2 linked regions of the Xenopus tropicalis genome follow. The protein of the gene in region 1 purifies or fractionates together with the protein of each later gene. This does not show direct contact. Links are inferred from orthologs where the notes say so. Each region holds a gene or a part of one and is shown in the gene's direction. Other genes may lie near its edges.

Evidence for each region. Proteins that work in one complex are often made in the same cells at the same time.
Region 2: the proteins of eif3g (region 1) and eif5 purify together in Homo sapiens (affinity purification with western blotting; 3 studies listed by BioGRID and IntAct, with this or other methods). This does not show direct contact. The link is inferred for Xenopus tropicalis from reciprocal best matches to the Homo sapiens genes EIF3G and EIF5.

The regions. Positions count from the first base shown.
Region 1 is NC_030679.2:137,098,727-137,102,474, reverse strand, and holds the start of eif3g (eukaryotic translation initiation factor 3 subunit G), read left to right. Parts: upstream 1-1,452; 5' UTR 1,453-1,484; coding exon 1,485-1,504; intron 1,505-2,648; coding exon 2,649-2,746; intron 2,747-3,461; coding exon 3,462-3,550; intron 3,551-3,748. UniProt on the Homo sapiens protein: RNA-binding component of the eukaryotic translation initiation factor 3 (eIF-3) complex, which is required for several steps in the initiation of protein synthesis.
Region 2 is NC_030684.2:98,282,794-98,286,541, forward strand, and holds the start of eif5 (eukaryotic translation initiation factor 5), read left to right. Parts: upstream 1-1,016; 5' UTR 1,017-1,139; intron 1,140-2,119; 5' UTR 2,120-2,327; coding exon 2,328-2,399; intron 2,400-2,485; coding exon 2,486-2,567; intron 2,568-2,902; coding exon 2,903-3,075; intron 3,076-3,707; coding exon 3,708-3,748.

The DNA.
Region 1 (3,748 bases):
GTTTGGGGGACTGCAGGTGTCGGTATGAGCACGTTTGGGGGACTGCAGGTGTCGGTATGTGCATGTTTGGGGGACTGCAGGTGTCGGTATGAGCACGTTTGGGGGACTGCAGGTGTCGGTATGTGCACGTTTGGGGGACTGCAGGTGTCGGTATGTGCACGTTTGGGGGACTGCAGGTGTCGGTATGTGCACGTTTGGGGGACTGCAGGTGTCGGTATGTGCACGTTTGGGGGACTGCAGGTGTCGGTATGTGCACGTTTGGGGGACTGCAGGTGTCGGTATGTGCACGTTTGGGGGACTGCAGGTGTCGGTATGTGCACGTTTGAGGGACTGCAGGTGTCGGTATGTGCACGTTTGGGGGACTGCAGGTGTCGGTATGTGCACGTTTGGGGGACTGCAGGTGTCGGTATGTGCATGTTTGGGGGACTGCAGGTGTCGGTATGTGCATGTTTGGGGGACTGCAGAAGGTACAGAGGGAGTTGAAATGTGAGCAGATTATGATGAGAGGGGGAAAGGGGATTGAACAGAATTTTGTAAATATTAGATCCAGGGAGTTCCCATTGGAGTGAGAGGGGGAGTCAGAGCACAGAGATAACCCAAAGGAGGATGTGAGTGAGAGGAGTTTAGAGACAGGAGGGGCATTAGGGTTGTTACCAGGTTAGTACAATGGATTTCAATGTGCTGGGGGCTGAGTTCCTCACAACTGTAACCAAAGCTCAAGCATAATGAGAGCTAGAACTCCGGCCTCATGGCAACACTGCAGCTTATGGGCCCAGCTGAGGGAAAGCATTGGACGACCAACCAACAGACCCTGCTAGTGATAGACTACACGCAACCAACAGCCTCCATTCACATTATTTATCATGAGGCCACTGAAATAATAAGGGGCCCAAGCAAATATCCGCTGTGCGCCGCCCTATAATCGGCAATAATCTATTAGCCACAGGGCACGGTAACCGCCAAGTGCCAGTAACTAGTACAAAGTGAGGGAAAAGTACTGGCACTAAATACAAGCGCTACAGCAAATCGACTTCCGCCTCCGAATTCTCGGATTAGATAGTGGAAATTGAAGGACAGCACTATAGAGCGGCACCGGAAGCGCCTCTCTATCCGCCAGCTTGAGCTTGTTACTAGCGCGCAGTGTGGAGCCATCTCTCTCTTCAGCTTCCGGAAGCGCTAGCAGCCGCGGCCCAGTGCAGCACAGACATGCCGACCGCAGACTAGAGCGGCACCGGAAGTACCTCTCTATCCGGCGGCCTGAGCTTGTTACTAGCGCGCAGTGTGGAGCCATCTCTCTCTTCAGCTTCCGGAAGCGCTAGCAGCCGCGGCCCAGTGCAGCACAGACATGCCGACCGCAGACTAGAGCGGCACCGGAAGTACCTCTCTATCCGGCGGCCTGAGCTTGTTACTAGCGCGCAGTGTGGAGCCATCTCTCTCTTCAGCTTCCGGAAGCGCTAGCAGCCGCGGCCCAGCGCACCACAGACATGCCGACCGAAGACTATGAGTATGTGCGGGGAAATAGCATGGGAGCCAAGCGGGGAGTAGGAGGGCAGGGAACACACACTGTAGTCACGGTTGGAGTGAGAGTCTGTGGCCAAATGGAGATTTAGGGGAGACGTTCAGCCTTTGGGACCCTGTGTCCTACTTTAGGATTTCCAGATGTTGGTGGACTACAAGCGGGCCCGGTCTGGCCATCTGTGCGCTCTGGCAAATGCCAGAGGGGGCGCTGTCACTGTTTTATTGGGCCTGTGGGAGCCTCTGTATCATTGAATTGCACGATTGGATCCAGTCCTGACTACAAGTCCCAGCCATGTGAGTTGTAGTTCACCAACATCTGGGTATCCAAGTGTATGTAAGGCTGGGAGAGCCATAGTGTGTAGGGTAGGGAGGTCCAACCTAGGGCTGGGCGATATACCGTTTAATACCGAATACCGTTTTTTTTTTTTATAAAACTATATTCATTTTTCAGATACCGCAATACCGGGGTGTCAGGGTACTCACCCGTGCGGCCCGGTCTCGCGCGTGTCCCGTTGTCCATGGGACGTTGCGCACGCGCGCCCAGGTGCGCATGCGTCAAAGCGCACGTACATGTCAAAGCGTGCGCGTCTATGACGCGCTGATGGCGCCGGTTCTGCGCATGCGTGGGGGGTATTTAAAGTTATCAAACGCCTCCTCCTGTGCTATGTTGTCTGCGGCCTTGCCTGGGAAACTAAGCCTGCCTGATTTACCTTACGACTTTCTGTTGCCGATCCTTCACTTGCCTGACTCTGATTTTCAATACTGCAGTAATTATTCTCTAATTTATTAGGAAATGGGGTTAACACCTAATCATGCATGGAAAAAAAAATACCGTCAAATACCGTGACACCGATATAATTTTGAAAAATACCGTGATATAAATTTTTGGTCATACCGCCCAGCTCTAGTCCAACCTGCAACCCTCTGGCTTGCAGTGTATGCTGGGAGTTCAATGGATATTACAGGCTAGCTTCTGGCTGAGAGGGGTTAGGAACTTATAGGTGATGAGTGAAACAATACTAATTTGGGATGGGATGAGCCCTCCCCACCAGGGAGGGAGCGGGTACGAGGCTGAATGCCAGGCTGGCAGATGTGGGTATCTAGTCTGAGATCTCTGTTTATCCTTTCAGCTCCAAGCCCAGCTGGGCTGACCAGGTGGAGGAGGAAGGAATAGACCCAGAACCCATAAGTCCACCAGTCACCAAGGTCCAACAAGATCCAGCCAGCTGTGAGTATTTATTTGCAGACCTACACAAGGGTATCCGGCTACAGGGGCAGAAAGGGCATGGAACTGCCTTGCGTGTCACAAGACCACATTAGACTGCTAATACCGCGTTTTTAGCCTAGCAGCTCTCTTGAAAGTCAGTGACCAGCCTGTCCAGGTTGTGCATAGTCACTTAGGTACAGTCTGACTGCTCTGATTGCTGCTGAGCCAAGAGCCTCTTATTAGCACTAAAATAGAAGGTTAATGTAAACAGTGTAATTATGTCAATAAATGTTAATTTTTTTAGCTTTAGATCCCACTTATTTCTTCCTCTGTTGACTTTTCAGCAGTGTAGACAAAGCAGATAGCCGAACATTCTCAAACTTTCTCATTTAGTGCTCCTATAAAGTCCTGTTTTGGGTAGTGGAGCTGAACTGTATATTTTAAATTAGAATTCCACTCACTACAGTTACCCCACAGCAACTGGAGGCCCACCGACTGAATGTGGCCCTCCAGATATGCTTTATGGCCCCCAGTCTGCTTTAAAGCTCTATGGAATTCACTGTATGAAATAATTTTAATGTAATAATCCAAACATTGTATATGAGAAATAATTAGCCCACTACATGCAATAAGCTGGACAGCTTTACCCCACAGTAATAGCTGGCTGAATTTAGGCCTTGTTGTGTGTATGTTTGAGCAGGCTGTCTGTTATGATTATGATTTTACCCCCCCCCAGTTGTTCTGGACACTCCTCAAGAGGTCATCAATGGTAAAATCAAAACTATCACAGAGTACAAGCTGAATGATGAAGGCAAGAAAATCAAGGTAGGGACAGCGCATTATTATTGGTGGGGAGGGCTTGCACTTTGTTTCATTTTCATACTCTGTGTACTTATGGGAGAAAGGCTTACATCTGCTACAGATGCTATGAATGCAGTATGTCTTTTATTATTTCATAAGGTTCCTTATCCCTGACAACATGAAAGCAAAATGTTTGAATATATTTTCTGTGTTTTTTTTTTG
Region 2 (3,748 bases), on another chromosome or scaffold:
CCACAGACACTCTCTGCGCGGGGAGGGGGTAAAGATCAACTCTCTGCGCTTTTCGTGCTAGAGACAGCTAGAAGCTTTCTGAGGTGAGTGATGAGTCAGTGTGGCCCTAAGTTTATACCCTGCATCGAAACAGCTGCTTTCATTTGATTAGTTAAAGACTTAATTATTAATTAACAACGTCTTTAACCCATTCGGTGCTAAGTAGTTGCGCAGTTCGCGCTAGCTCTCACTTGCTGATCATCATGTGTTGTTTTTTCTAGATCCCCCGGCCGGAGGGTGTCTCCTGTTTTGTTGCTTATAATTTGGAGCTTTCTGCTGGTGTGTTGGCCAGCGTCGTGCTGTGCCGTCTCCACCACCGCCGCCCCAACCAGCGCACTGTGTGTGTACATCGTAAAGACGTTTTATCCTGCCTTCCCGTTCATCGCACCCAGGGCGAGCAGCGTTGTGTTTATGTCTTTATTGGACGAAAACGGTAAGTACCCTCGGGCTGCGTTGCATATGTTACAGGTGGAGCACGGTCGCTACATAAGCAGTGTGGGGCTCCATTAGTCGACGAATGAAAACGAAAAAAACAGCAGGAGGCTATTAGCCTTACATTGAGGGCTGAAGGTTGCTAGTCCCTCGGTTAAAACACGGCTGTACAGCAAGCTATGGGGCTGGGAATTGCAACATGCGACAATACCACTGTTCTGGACTCTGTGTTGGGCGACTTCAAGGTCTTTGTCGAGGAATTTGTCCGCACCGACCGGAAGGCTAATGGGGAGGGGGAGTGCTACGTTCGCCCTAATGTAGGCCGCAGCGGGATGTTGATGTAAAATGGCTGCCGTGCCTCGTGACTTCAGACGTGACGCATTTTGCAGCCGGCGGATACGGGGCCTCCCGGGCAAACTGAAGTGGGGCTTATAAGTGGGTGGGTTGAGAACATGCTTTTAGTGGCGGAAGAGGGGTGATATCGTCAAGGTGGGTTGTGGGTATAAAAGATAAGGGGTGGGAGAATTTGGGAAGTGTGCGCATGCGTGGCCGCGATTCCAGGACTGACTCAGTGCTGCAGTTGTGAGTCATCCGGAGCAGCTGGCCCTCCGCTCCCCCAGAGCTGCCTTTTTACTCATGTCTGTTTTCTTTAACCCCTATAGTCCTTGGTGAGTTACCTGGTTTCTGACGCCTCCCAAGGGCTTATGGCTCACCTATTACAATTAGTCCCATCTGCTCATATGTAAACATTGTTTTAACTCCTCGAGACTGGGCCACTGCTTTAACACATTGAAACTCTTATAAAGCTAAGTTGTAGTTAAGGAAAGACTTATTTCCTTTTTTTTTGTAATCTCAGAAAGTTTTTCATTTTAATTCTATAAGGTTTTACATTAGGATAGAGATAATATAAATAATATATATATATATATATATATATATATATATATATATATATATATATATATATATATATATATATATATATATATATATATATATATATATATATATATATATATATATATATATATATATATAGTGTCTTTCAAAATAGTGAAAGCAGTATCTTTCTGGGTGTTCTGCAATTCTGGTTCTGACTCCTGGAACAATATAGCATCATTTGATTATCAGACCAACAAACTGGAACTTTTTCTCAACAGCTTTTTGAATTATTTTAGACTGGGGAAAATTGCTTGGCATTGTTTCTTTCATTATTCAAAAAAAGTTAGTTTTTTTTCTTTACCAAATTAAAGAGGCAGTATATCCTCTGGTTCAGTAAATAAGGCTTATGAACAAAATTTCTGCCTATTGTTATAATCATGAAAAATCTGGTTTATTTCTGAGCAGGTCCCCTTCCTTCACCCACTACTGTGACTTTTCTTAGCAGGAGTCTGTTGTGCAGGGAAATAATTAGTGCATTGGTACTCTGCCTTGCAAGGACCCAACATTGAGTAGCTTAATTTTACCTGTTTTGCTAAAGAAATTTACAAAAACTTTGCTGCAGTGCAAGACCTTTTCATTGAAGTCATGTTAAAAAAGGGGTATACTACCATAGTAGTGCAGTACATAATGTCTATAAGGCCTTTTTAAGTTGTGTTTTTTTTAATTTGTTTTTCTGATGTGTTATATTTTTGTACCTCCTCTGCAGAGCTGTTGCGCAGCCATTGGTACCTGTATTGGGGGAACATAGCATACAAGCAGGACGCTTGCAGCCTCGGTGGCGAAATTATTTTCATGTCAGAGACCGAGAACTCTTGCAGTCGTTTATGTCATCCAGTCTTCTCCAGACAGAAGATACCAAAAAGTTGCAATCAAAGACCATTTCTCGTTATTGAAAGGGCTAATAATAAACCAAAATGTCTGTCAATGTCAACCGAAGTGTTTCCGATCAGTTCTATCGGTACAAAATGCCCCGTTTGATTGCTAAGGTAATGTATCTATTTGTATTTTGCAACAAAGTCTTAAAATAAGTTATTCTACTTGCCATGCTCATTGGTTTCCTTATTTCTTACAGGTAGAGGGCAAAGGAAATGGAATAAAGACAGTAATAGTCAACATGGTTGATGTTGCAAAGGCGCTTAATCGGCCTCCAACCTGTAAGTTGAATTTGCAGTAGTGCTTTACCTTCTTGTATACAGTTATGTGTAATCGACTTCTATATTTTAAATCCACTGAAATGCTCTGTCCTTGTTTTTACATTTAATGCTAATGTTTACTCTACAGAGCTGTAGTCTGTGTGACAGGTTTGTATTTTTTGACTGCTGAAACATGTTAGTGAGTTGTAGATATCTGATTTGATGCTTATATTACACACAAGTTTTGGGCAGCCATGACCCTGTTTGTGTTTGCTTGGGCCAATAATGTCTTGTCTTGGAGGACCACTTCCAGTCTATGTATTCATTTTGTGTATTTATTTTTTTTTTTTTCCAAGATCCCACCAAATATTTTGGTTGTGAGCTGGGAGCACAGACCCAGTTTGATGTTAAGAATGACCGTTACATTGTCAATGGCTCTCATGAGGCAAATAAGCTGCAAGATATGTTGGATGGATTTATTAAAAAGTTTGTTCTGTGTCCTGAATGTGAGAATCCTGAAACTGATCTGGTAAGAATTCATGTATTCCACATATATTTATCATTTCAATTTCTATCTAGTACTGCAGATGCCTTTTAATATTTGTGGAAGCCTGATATTTCATGAGGCATGGAACATATTGAGCTATTGACCCTAAAGAGGTCAACATTGTGAATGTGCAAATCTTTCAACACGGTTTTTACTTGAATGTGGTGATATTCAATTTAATATTTTTTGTATCTGGAGTTAAAATACAGCACTGCCAGTCTGTGCTTGAACATTAGTAATTTGACATGCATGTTACCTACTGCATTATAACAGGATAAAGGTATGATTTGTAAGGGTGTAGGCACATGGGTTTTTAGCAGTGATGTGTGGTTTTTATCAATACTAATGACAGACTTCTGTCTGATTTGGACACTTTTTTTAGAATATGTTCTGTTGTGAGCCTAAAAGTACAATAATAGCCTTGAATGTTGGAACAATTAAGTTTTTTTACGTGCAGTGTATGGTAACCTGGGGAGGTGTCTGGTTTAGTGGGCCTCTTCTTGGATAGGGTTGCCCACCCGCTTAATTCGAATTGGGCCAATAACGCCTACCTTCGGTGTATGGACACCTTTTATTTGTTTGAGGTCTAATTTGACATCTAATGTTTTTTTCAGCATGTCAATCCTAAGAAGCAAACCATAGGCAATTCCTGTAA